3 linked regions of the Rattus norvegicus genome follow. The protein of the gene in region 3 interacts with the protein of the main gene of each other region in a pairwise test. Links are inferred from orthologs where the notes say so. Each region holds a gene or a part of one and is shown on either strand. Other genes may lie near its edges.

Evidence for each region.
Region 1: the proteins of Khdrbs3 (region 3) and Bahd1 interact in binary tests that used the Homo sapiens proteins (3 or more experiments, as listed by UniProt). The two-hybrid records come from large-scale screens. The link is inferred for Rattus norvegicus from reciprocal best matches to the Homo sapiens genes KHDRBS3 and BAHD1.
Region 2: the proteins of Khdrbs3 (region 3) and Inpp5d interact in binary tests that used the Homo sapiens proteins (3 or more experiments, as listed by UniProt). The two-hybrid records come from large-scale screens. The link is inferred for Rattus norvegicus from reciprocal best matches to the Homo sapiens genes KHDRBS3 and INPP5D.

The regions. Positions count from the first base shown.
Region 1 is NC_086021.1:126,345,015-126,349,216, reverse strand, and holds the start of Bahd1 (bromo adjacent homology domain-containing 1 protein), read right to left. Parts: upstream 2,814-4,202; 5' UTR 2,497-2,813; exon of another isoform or gene 2,415-2,496; intron 2,409-2,414; exon of another isoform or gene 2,300-2,408; intron 2,253-2,299; exon of another isoform or gene 2,210-2,252; intron 1-2,209.
Region 2 is NC_086027.1:95,734,178-95,738,334, forward strand, and holds the start of Inpp5d (phosphatidylinositol 3,4,5-trisphosphate 5-phosphatase 1), read left to right. Parts: upstream 1-1,355; 5' UTR 1,356-1,545; coding exon 1,546-1,688; intron 1,689-4,157. UniProt on the Homo sapiens protein: Phosphatidylinositol (PtdIns) phosphatase that specifically hydrolyzes the 5-phosphate of phosphatidylinositol-3,4,5-trisphosphate (PtdIns(3,4,5)P3) to produce PtdIns(3,4)P2, thereby negatively regulating the PI3K (phosphoinositide 3-kinase) pathways.
Region 3 is NC_086025.1:102,806,797-102,810,363, reverse strand, and holds part of Khdrbs3 (KH domain-containing, RNA-binding, signal transduction-associated protein 3), read right to left. Parts: intron 2,734-3,567; coding exon 2,587-2,733; intron 1-2,586. UniProt on the Homo sapiens protein: RNA-binding protein that plays a role in the regulation of alternative splicing and influences mRNA splice site selection and exon inclusion. Binds preferentially to the 5'-[AU]UAAA-3' motif in vitro.

The sequences.
Region 1 (4,202 bases), on a different chromosome or scaffold from region 3:
AAATGACCCGGGGAACATGGCAACAGAAGGAAGGGAAAGACACTGAAAAGAAGAAACCAACGCCAGCAATGGTAGTGCACACCAGGAGGCAGAGAGAGGAGATTCCCTGCAAGTCCCAGGCTAGCCTCAGTTCTGGAGTGATGAGACATAGGAGAAAGCAAAGAGCAGAGGGACCGAAGAAATGCAGAGTGAAAACACATCTCTTTAATGGCTCAACTCCCCAGAGCCAGTCCTAAACATTCATCTGACTGACAAGTATCTCTTGCCAGGTTAAGCCCCCGTCACAGAGGGAAATGTTATTTTGGCAATTCCCACCTTCCAGCAGCCAAACCAGGTCACCCTTCTGACTGCCACCAAAAGAAATCTCGTACAGTACAACCCCAGCAAAAGAGATTCTCCAGCCTTCTCTGGATTTAGACATACAATTAAACTCTCTCAAACAAACTTCAGTCTCTTGTGTGAAGTAATACCCCCCTTTCCTCACAAGCCTCGACTCCACCCAAACTGGGGTCCAGACTCTCCTGGGGAGAGATGGGGTGCTCTGAATGAACTCCACCCCCTGCTGTTCCTGCTCCTTTGGCAGACAGCAGCTTCCTAAAGGTGGGCTTAGAGCCAAACACAGCCGAGTGCTGCTCTTGACCAGTCCCACTGGTGTGCCACTCCAACCCAGATTTTTCTCAGCAAAAGGCCATGTTCTCAGCTGTTATCAGCCTGAGTCTCCTCTCTTCCTGTTCCCAACCCAATCACATGAGGAGGGGCACGGGAGCTGAGTGGATTCTCACAAACGGATAAACAGCATACAGCCTAGAGCTGCTCACCGCTGGGGTTAGCAGTACTCTCACAGCTTAAGCCAGAGATTCCAAAGTGTCCTAGGACAGTGGTGTCCCCGAGAAATGTGGTCCCCCTGAGGCTTTTTCCTTTTTGGTAGAAGACTATGGAGGTGTAGAAGCTGGGGAGAAACGTGTCAGGTGGTACAAAAGAGAGCTGGAAACCTTATTTTATGTCATCATCAAATTTCTGCCTCAATTTATGGACTCAGCTTATCTTGTCCCTATGTGGGTACCTTCTTGCCTAAGGAAAACTGCTACAGCAATAGTGAAGGCATCGCCAAGCACAGTGGGTGTGTGTGTTGGGGGTGGGGTCCCTTAGTCCCAATCCAAGTAGCCGTCTGTGCTCTTAAGATTGCCGACAATGGGCCACTAGGAGACATCCCAGGTGGAGTTAAACCTCTATCGATAGGCAGACTTGCTGAAAGCCTCTCACTGGTAGCAGGCTCTGCTCGCCTCTGAGTCCACCAGCCCATTCGCCACCGGCCAGGGCACTCGGTGCGCACACCCCCCAACCCTGCCCCTCCGCCTTGGCTAAGTCGACCCCACTCTTCCCGGAGCCGCGAGGATATCTGCGGCTACAGCCCAGAGCCAGTGCCGCAGCTCCTCCCGGTGGACGCCCCGGCCCCCGCAGTCCCCAGGGCAGAGTCCGGCCCCGTGCCCGCCCCTTGGGGTGGGTGCCCCGGACTCGCTCCCCTCCCTGATACCACTACCTGCGCCCGCTTGGGCGCCGCCTTTGTCCGGCTCTTCACCGCCGAGCGGGCCCCTTGGGCCCGACCTGACCCGGCCCCCGGCCCCAGAGGAGAGGCGGCGGGGCTGGCAGGGCACAACCAGGCCGGGCCTGGAGCACCGGGTCCCGCTGTCACTTAGAGGCGGTCTGACAACTTCGATTCCCCCCGCCCTACCTCGGACTCGGCCGCCGCCCCGCACGGTCCCCACAGGGCCTCCCGCGGCCCACACTCGCTGTTCGAACCGGTCCCCTTCCGTCTTCGGCGCCTCCCTTCCTTCAGCCCGACCCGATCCGGTCCACACTACCCCTCGCCCTGACGCGGCCCCCATCCCCACCCCCCCTCCGGCAATTGCCGGTCAGCTCCCAACCCTGGAGGGCGCCCCCCACCCCGAGAGGGCGCTCCCGCGGCGACGCCCCCAGCAGCGGCCCCTAGCCTCGGGGACCACGATGGGGGAGGGGGCTTGGCGGGGGCCTTGCCGCCCGCGCACTCGGAGGCGAGCCGGCTCCGCCGCGGCGAGGAAGCACCCCGCGTCCTCCCGCCCTCCGTAGCCCGGGACGCCCGCGCCGCCGCCCCCTGGCCAAGCTGCCACCCTGCGGCCGCCACCCACCCCGCCCCCGGTCTGCGAGGCGGGCGCCCCCCGGGGGCTGTCACCTCGAGGCGCGCAGTGCTCCCCGATGGCGGGACCGCAGCGCCGGACCCGGGGGAGGGAGGCGGCGCGCGCGGGCGGGCAGGCAGCCGCACCTGCTTCTTGTCGTCCGTCCGTCCCTTCCCGGGGCTGGCGGGGGCGGCGGCGCGGCGCGCTCGGCGGGGCGCGCTGACGGGCGGCCGGTCCTCTCCCTTTTGCTAGTCCGCCTACCTAGCTCGTTCGCTCGCTCGCTCGCTCGCTCTCGCTCGTTCGTCCTCCCCTTCCCCCTCCTGGATCCCAGCTCCTAGCTCACCGGGACGAGCGGCGCGGACGGCGCGGCTTTGGGCGCCCGCAGGCCCTGACCGGGCTGGAATCCGGCGGCTGGAACCCCCCGGGGGCGCTCAATTCCCGGGCTCCACGCTGCTGCGTCAGCGCCTCCTCCTGGGGGCCAGGGCCGGGCGGGCGGAGCGGGGGCCGCGGTCGGGCGGGGCCGTCGGGGGGGGGCGGGCGCGCCTGGCCGGGGCGGGCAGACGGCTAGGGCCGGACGGGCGGGGCAGGCGGCCGGACGGGCGAGCAGCGGGGGCCGGGCTCCGGGATCCGCTACGCCGCTCGCGGTTCCCCCACAAACTCCCCGAGAGCGGAGCCTCCGCCGCCCTCCTTCCTGCTTCCTCGTCCCCAGCCAATCAGCGGCGCGCCCCTCGGCAAGCTCCGCCAATCAGCCGCCCCGCCCTGCGCTGGCCCCGCCAGCCAATCCGGCCCTCGGCTCCCCCTCCCGGTCTCCAACCAATCAGAATCGTGGGTCGGTCGTCCCGACGCAGGGGGCAGCACGAGGCGGCCGGGGGAGGCGGTGCGGGGAGTGGTGGGGCCTGGGGGGAGGGGTACGGTGCCAAGGGTGGTGGCGGGGGATGATTTTCTTTGCCGGCTTCTAGTATTTTCTCCTGGTCTTTGGAGCCTGAGCCAGTATCCCATGGTGACCTGACCCTGAAGCCCCAGCACCTCACTGCAGACCCCCACCCTGAAAAATCTTAGCGCGCCCCCGCCCTGACCATTACCCTTCTACATCTCTCTTCCCTCCTAACCTCTCCAGCACCCGCTACAGTAAACTGAGGGCCGAGGGGGCACCCCACCCTCCTCAGGCTGCTGCCCCCATGGCAAAGCTTCGGGAAGACCAACCGAAAAATTCAAGCAAGAACAACACCCCCTTTCCTCTGAAAGGGCCCCAGACTCGCGCGAAAGGGCCCCGACTGCTAAGAAGCCCCTCCCGCCCTTGCCTCATCTTTCCGACTTCCCTGCTTGCCACGTCTCCTTTCCTTCCTAGCAAGGTCGGTCCTGGCTCCGTAACCCCTCACCCGCATCTCTTTTTCCTCTTTCTGCCCTTCACCTACCGCCCCCCACCCCAGCTCCCAATTCGCCCTCTTTCAGAAGCCAAGTGTGGAACCCTCATCCATTTCCAGCTGACAGCACAGCCTGGTCTGTGAGTCCTTGACACCCACACACCCTCTACCACCACCGCGGGGAACATCAGAGCTCTCCGGGGGAGAGGGAAAGGGGCGGGCAGCCCAACAGGCGCGGCTGGACACACTCCTTCGCGTCCCCAAGCCTGGGTAGAACCAGTGCAGACACTTACCTAGCTTCCCCATAGTCACCTTATGCTGTGGCTCCGTCTCTCACACCCACAGACGTGCTTTTCCAAGCCTGAGCACGCTCTCGGGGTCAGCTGGGTGGGTGGGCAAAGCAGGCTGAGGTCATACGAAGGGGTGGGAAGTCCCTGGGAGGTGCGGGAAGGGGCCGTGTCCTGGACACCTTGTAGCGTCAGAGCCAGCCCAGGACTTCACTTCAAGGAGTCGTAATGTGCACACAGTAGGTTCTTGAGAAATACCGAGTCCACCCCTGAACAAAGCCTCATTCCCAATTCAGGCGGGGGAGGGGCGCTTTGGGAGGTAAAGGAGCAGGAGCAGAAAGGGTAGTGTCAAGTCACCCGAGCCTGGGAGCAGCCGGGGAGGGGCTGGGCCCTGGAAC
Region 2 (4,157 bases), on a different chromosome or scaffold from region 3:
GGGACAAGGGCAGTGATGAAGTTGGCAGAGGTGTCCAAGAAGAAAGAAGGGTTCAACGATGCATGCAGTCATGTGTTGGATAGAGGTTTCCTAAGAGGAGTGCATGGGGTACTGTGAACATGAGAGGTCTCCATAACAGGCCCATTTTAGAGTTAACTTCCTCGGAGCCCAGATGTGGACGTGAGCTCTTGTTGCAACCATGTCCCCTCCCTCTGGCTCAGGACCTGACTGAGGTACTGTACCCACTCTCAGATTTCCCATCGGCTGTGCCCTGCAAATCCCAGGCTCCCACTTGGATGACATCAGCATAGCTCCCAGGTCCTCCACAGACCAGAGCTCCTTTCAGAATCATACGGCTGCAGTCTAAAGAAAAGAAAACTGAGGCTGAGAGTGAAAAGAAGCTCGACCAGGCTCTCTCCAGTACGTGTGTGTGTGTGTGTGTGTGTGTGTGTGTGTGTGTGTGTGTGTGTGTGTGTGTGTGTCTGGCTTAGGTCTGTTATCACATCTAACGTGACAAGGTTCAGATGAAGGAGTGATCAGTTCTCACTTCTGCCTTACATTCCCTTGGTGGGCTTGGTTTGAGAAATGAGGTCACCCAGCTTGGGGTCAAAGGGAAAGTGGCTACCTTAGAGCCTGCAGAACTCAGACAGTACTAAATGGTGACCTTTAAGGGGTGAGCAAATATGGCCATGTCTAACCCCAGAGGGGATAGCATGACTGGTCATTTGGGCTTCTGCAGTGCAGAACTCACTAACATAAGTCATTAAAGAGCCCAGCTTGTACCACAGGGACATGTAAGCCCCTCCATGACCTTGTCCCCCCAAGTGCCCAGCAGAAGTCCAGAGGGGACAGACCAGCCTGTTTTAGCTGGGGAATAGTGTTGCTCACAGTAGCTTGGTCTTCTGACAGCAATTAACTTCATTAAGACAAGCCCCTACAGACGTATTCACAGGCCAACCCCATGCAGACATTCCCTCATGGAGACTCTTCCTGGGCAATCCTAGGTTGTGCCAAGTTGACAGTTGAAGCTCGTCATCTCGAGTATGCTGGGTATTGCTGAGGAAAACTGTAACCGCCCTTGTGGACATTAGCAAAGGTTTCTGAACGCCATTCCTTTGGCCTATTCATAAATGCTAGGCCAGACTTGAGAAGAGTCAGCCATGAAACCTGACACTAAAAGAGCCTTTGCTTCCCTCATGTGGAACGTCTGTTGATAATGGACGCTTCTGGAGGTTGAGTCCCATTCAGGGGAAATGGAGAGCCAATGAGTGAGAGGGTGGAGCAGGCAGCCAGTGTTGGGCTGGGTGGGAAGGTAGATGATTGCCCCCCTTCCCCAACTTGGTTTCTATAATGAGGAAGTTCTCTGCAGCTCAGTTTCCTCTCCCTCGCTGAGCGCCTGAAACAGGAAGTCAGTCAGTTAAGCTGGTAGTAGCAGCAGAGGCAGCTTCTGAGAGGCCACAGGCGGCAGGTCTCAGCCTAGGGCCCTTAACTGCTTTGCTGGAGTGTCCGTCCTGGGAGTGGCTGCTGACCCAGCCCAGGAGACCCATGCCTGCCATGGTCCCTGGGTGGAACCATGGCAACATCACCCGATCCAAGGCAGAGGAGCTACTTTCCAGAGCTGGCAAGGACGGGAGCTTCCTTGTGCGTGCCAGCGAGTCCATCCCCCGGGCCTACGCGCTCTGCGTGCTGTGAGTACCCTCATTTCCTCCCAACTGTCAGATCCAGGGACCCTCGAGGGGTGGATCCAAAAGGGAACCCCTATAATGGGGGTTTGAGTTAGTTTTATGTCACAGGATGGTGGGACCTGACTGGTACTCTGTTATCCTGTCGGGAGGGTGGAGGTAGGGGTGGCATCTGAGGCCCACTTTGGACCTTGGCGTTGGAGTTCAGGGACCCTGTGTCATGACAGGCTTGTGTGGTGCTAGGACTCTCTGAATGACTCCGGGCCTCCACCACACTATAGCCCTCCATGACCTGTGGTGCCAGGGGCCTCCCTGAGCTCCAGTAGCAGGAGCAGTGATCCTCACTTTGAGCCAGGAAAAAACTCGGGCCTCTCTGGTGGAGGGCGCATTGGAAAGCATCTTGGTCAGCTCAAACGTCGGTTGGGGGACTCAGTGAAAGGCAACACTGACAAAAGGGATTCCCTTCCTCCACCCTGCTCTGGTCTTGGAGCTAATTCTATTTGGGGGAGCTGAATCTGGGGTGCATTTAATCAGGAAAGGACTCCTCATGCAGGCGTTTTATTCTAGGCTGCAAGGACACAGGAAGCCACAGAGCTGCTCTGTGAGTAGGTCTCTGTCCCTCCCCTTGCACTCAGCTATGTCCCTATCTGAGTCTCTCCCTCCATGGGTTCCCCCCACAGCCCAGCGTGAAGATGTTGCTGAATGTGCTGGTTATCCTAACAACAGAGGAAACAGCCACTCGCTGAAGGTTCCTTTTTAACACTCCATTCGTCTAGAGTCTGAGGAAGGTTGTCGCCCCTCTAGCCCTGTGGTCTGACCCTGTCCCGGCTTCAGGCTGGAGCAGGGCAGGAACACAGTCAGGAAGGGTGTGTCTACTTGAACAGCACAGGTAGCATCTGATAGATTGTCCCTGGACTGAGAAAGATCTTTCAGAGCAGCTAGGGCCCCCGTATCTTCATGCAGGAGGGAAGTGGGTGACTGACCACAGACTGCTCTGCGCTCTGACTCATGTTGGGACCTGCTGTGCTAGGCATTTGCTGGCTGGTTTCATCTTCAAGAGAGCCAGGAGTGTGGGTTCTATGAACACCTAGACCAGCAGATAAGGACCATGAGGCTCAGACAGGTTATGCAGAGGATAAGGTCGTTTGCGCCCAGAGACCACCAGCTTGTGCTGCCTACCTCCTACCACCATCAAGCTGGGCATGCCAGTGGACTTGGGTGGAAACAGACGAGCTAGGGTGTTTACAGAGTTGGGGGTGGGGGGCAGAAGCCCTAGAAGCCAGTACAGGTTCACGGCTGGCTGAGCATCTTGGGCTGGTGGAGTTAGCAGCCAGCTTCCTGCACACCCACCAGCGTGTTTCAGGACAAGCACTGCAGGTGGCCTGGACCACCCCAAAGCCCTCTCCCTTGGGGAATCTACCAGTGAGGGGCCCTAAAAGGAAAGAGGGCAGGAAGGTACTTTTCAGTGTGTCACAAGCTCAGCCTGATTCCACTAACCCAGTGACATTTTTCTGCCCCAGTGGGATTTGGGCCAAGGGCAATTTTGTTGGGAGTTGGCTATGGGCTGAGAGACTGTTGTGTGCACTGGTTACAAACACACGACACACGCATGGGTTCTCTTATGCTAAGCCAGCAGCCTCTGGAAGGCTGGAGTCGGAGCAGAAGGAGCCTGAGCCAAGGCCAAGGGGTCTGGGAGGACCTTCAGGCAGACAGAACTGGACCTTGCCTTTCCTCTTCACCTCTCTCCCCTGCCTCAGCTGACTTAAGTCCCTGCAAAGCAAAGATGATACAGAGATTTTTCAAATTAAAGGAGTAACTACCGCAACCTCGGTGTATGGTATAAAGCTGCCCCCCCCCCAAAAAAAATCAGGAAAAGAATACTTTTTAATTTGAAAAATGGTTAGAGGCCAGCCCTTTAATGCAAAGAGACTTACCTTCCTGAAAAAACAAACTTCACATCCTTCACATTCCCCTGTTCCCTGTGGATGAGGGAACCTAGCCCACCTCATTCCTGCCTCCTCACCATCTGCCCCGGCCAGAGTCCACACTCCTACCAGAGAAGATCAAGTCAGCAGTTTCAGGACAGCAACAAGGTAGAGGCCAGAGAAGGGGCTGCAAAGGAGAGATGGGGGATGGGGTGGGTGGGATACAGGACAGATGAGTTTTCTTCAGTTTCAGGAGTGATATAGATTTGGCACGTGTGCTGTCTTGCTGGACACCAACCAGTCTGTGTAGACTCCGGGTCACACAGCTGTGGGTCAGAAACTTAGTGACCCTGCTGCTGGGGCTTCACTTGTCCCTTCTTGTGACTGAAGGAACGGCATCAGAGGCACCGTGCCTCTGTTGGGTTTGGTTGGCACTCTGGGAAGAACGAAGCATTGTGAAGAGGACCTTCCTGGTCTGAGATTTGACTAGGCATAACAGGGAGATGGAGGTAAATGCTTAAAGACAAGGTTGCAATTCAGTACCACCCAC
Region 3 (3,567 bases):
CACACAGGATTGGATGAGCAGGGCAAAGAAGACAGGACACCAGGGAAAGTATCACAGGCACCCTGATACAGAAGCCAGGGGTGTTTAGTAACAGCATGACACTGATGTCAAAGAATCCTAATAAACTAGGTTTTATCTAATCTTCCTAATATCTCTTTTTATTGTGATGTAAAAACAGTAAAAAATATCCCAAAAAGACAGAGCAAAATCAATATGAAGAAAATCAATTGTACCTCTAAATAAATGGTCCACTGGTAACAGTATCAGAAAATATCAAATATTTGGAAATGACTCAGCAGTTTTAAGAGTATTTTTGATTCTTGCAAAGGACCAGGGTTTGATTCCCAAGACTCACAAAGAAGTTCACAAACTGCAGTTCCAGAGGATCCAACACCCTCTTCTGATTCCTATAGGCACTCCACATTTGTGGTACACAGATACACACGCAGGCAAAACACTCATACACATAAAATAAACATAAGTGCTTTTGTTAATATTTGGAAATATATTTTACAAAGTAAGTGCCAGGCTATGGAAAAAACTTTTTTTTTGTTGTCTTGTTTTTTTGTTTGTTTATTTGTTTGAGACAGGGTTTTTCTGTATAGCCTTGGCTCTCCTAGAACTCACTACATAGACCGGGCTGGCCTTGAACTCAGAGGTCCTCTTGCTTCTGCCTCCCAAGTGGTTGGGATTAAAGGCATTCACCACCACAAAATAGTCGAGCTATTGATTTTGAGAATGAGAAGTACTTGATATTCACAGAATAAAAGACACCGGTTAAACGTTAACTCCAAGCTCATCTACAGATTCAAAAAACATCTGGCAAAATCCTTGTTGAACATTGTAGAAGTCGGAAGCTGATACTAAAGTGAACATGGAAATGCAAAGGAATCAAAACAACTCTGAGACAGGAAAACAGACCAGGGTGCCTACCACACTGAGACTGGGGAGAGAATGTGACTTACAACAGGACAGTGCCTGAACCAACTTACTAAGAATTTTTAACTAGGAAAGGGAGGAAAGGAACAGAAAGTTGGACAATTTATATACCCAGACTTCAAAGTTCACTGAAAGTTTGACGGAAAAGTATGTAACTCAATTGGGAGAGGCTTACTGTAAATCACTGGGGCAGAACTGAGAGTCCCAGATAGACTTCCATTAGGGAATTCAACAGGACAACAGAAAAATTCAAATGTATATTTTTGCTCATGCCATGTGCAAAAGCATCACCAAGTGACTTAAATGGAAAGAATCTTATGAGGTTCTTTTGCTTTGTTCTGAGACAGCGTTACAGGATGTAGCCCTGGCCAGCCTGGAACTTGGTATGTAGGCCAGATTGGCCTTGAAGTAACTGAGATCTTCTGCCCCTCAAGTAGAGTTTAAAAACATTGCTGCATATACCATCACAAAAGCAAAATGATTCTTAAAGGAAAGAATACTATTAAACATAAGGAGACAGCAGGAAACACCAGTAACGTTGCTTTAGACATATCTTTAGCCAGTCCAGATCATGGGTTAGAAAAATAGGCCCTACCCCCTCACGGAGGACTGTAAAGGCCATGGGATGGAAAGTTCCACTGTAGCTATGTATGGAAGAAGGAATCTGCCCCATGTGCCATAATCCCAGTTTCAGTCACCTATGTGAATATATGATTCCTACTGGCCTGCCCGTTAAACTACAAACTCTAGAGGGCAGGGGCTGTCATCAATGGTTTACAAATGTCTGCCACACAGTGAGCATTACTCTTAGACATGGCTAAGGATATAGCTCATGATACGACCTTTTAAGTGAAAAAACATACTTAAATAAACTTCAATATAAGTATAATATTTGGTTTCTTAATAGCAGATATGATCATAATCTATTGTGTACATGTTACTCTCCCAGCATAGTTGAGGACGTCTAAGGACAGTCTCACTGTGGACAGTTGCCTAGCAGATGTGCCAGCTTTTCTATAGTAAGTGTCTATAGAATCAACATATATAGTTTATTATTATTTATTATTACTTTTTTTTCCTTTTGGAAAAAAAAGTCTCTTTTTATCACTAACATACAAATACTTAAATGATCTTTCAGAAGGAAGGCAGGAACATATTTCTTTAAAATCATTACTTTCATGGCAATACTTGACGTCCCAGGCATATCCAATCTGCAAACTATACTTAACTACCCACTAAGGTTTTGATTTCCTGCTAAACTACTCCAGGGGACAGAAAATGTTCTTATTTAGGTGTCCATGCCCCACACCAAGCACAGACCAGGCATATAGAGGACATTAATGACTAAGGAAGAGCACGGAATTTATGTGACATTTTCAGAATCACGTAAGAATTTATATTGGAGCTCCCAAATCTGAATTAGTGATTCTGATCTTCCAATTTTTCAGCCTTATAACCTGGTGGCAGTATATAATCTGTCTAAAATCCCATTGTTTTAAATGGAAGCAGGGAATTATGCCGAGGAATTCTCATAGAGAATATTGTGAGGTCTACGATGTAGGCCAGACAGGAAGCTCTTGATCATCAAGGAATGGGCTAAAGACTCAGCCTTAACACACAAGTCACTGAGCAGCGAGTGGTACTAACAGGGATCAGGAACTTCTTAATCTCTTCCAAGGCATGCCCCATCCGGGCATAAGCTTCCGCTGGGGGCGCGAACACTTCAATGAGCACGTGCAGGTCGTCATTGAGGTGAAAGTACTTCGCTTCTCCACTTTTCCTCAGCTCCTCCTCCTGAAGAAGATAATCACATTTAAAATGTGTCATTTAGAGCAGGAAAAAACAAGCAAAAATTACACAAAACTTATTTGATGTGTGCTTGTGAGGGAAGACTCTAAAACAAATAGCACTCTGGGATGGCTTTATTCTATAGATTTGATCCTGTTGTCCCGGGTTCTCAGGAACCCTGGACAGGCATCCTATCCTGCTGGGATAAGGTCTCTTCTGCTCTGACTCTGCCTATAAGGAATCATCTGCCCTTGGCTACCTGCAGATTCCTGTTAGCTCTAGCCTGCCCCATTACCGCCCCAGCTATGCACAAACCTCTGATCTTGACTTGGCTATGTGCCCGGCTCATTTCTCTACAGCAGATGCCTGCCATTTTAGGCATGCTGACACCAAGCACTCACCACAATCCAAAACATTCAACAATCTTTCAAGTTTGCTTCATTCTTTTTGGTTTTCTCTTATTAGCAGGCGACTGCCAGAGAGCAGACCCTGTATGTCCGTCTTGTCCGATGGTGTGTGAAGGGCTGGTTTATACTTCTCATTTCTGGCCCAAGCCTCAGCTACGTTATGAAGGCTGTCTTATGACTAGTTGCTGTGCAATTCAGAGTGAGTTCTAACAACTGTCCATGGCTTCCTAACAAAGGCAATGTGCTGTTCGGGGAGGGAAACAGACTCAGGGATTTTACACTCACATACCAAATCCCACCCTGACTGCTTGACAATCAAGCAGTTTACCTTATCAAGAAGGATTTTCACATGGGACAGACCTAGTGTGGTGTCATCTCCTGGGGCTGCTAAAGGCAGAAGACTCTTTAGAAAAGTGTCTAGTGCGCTGTGGGC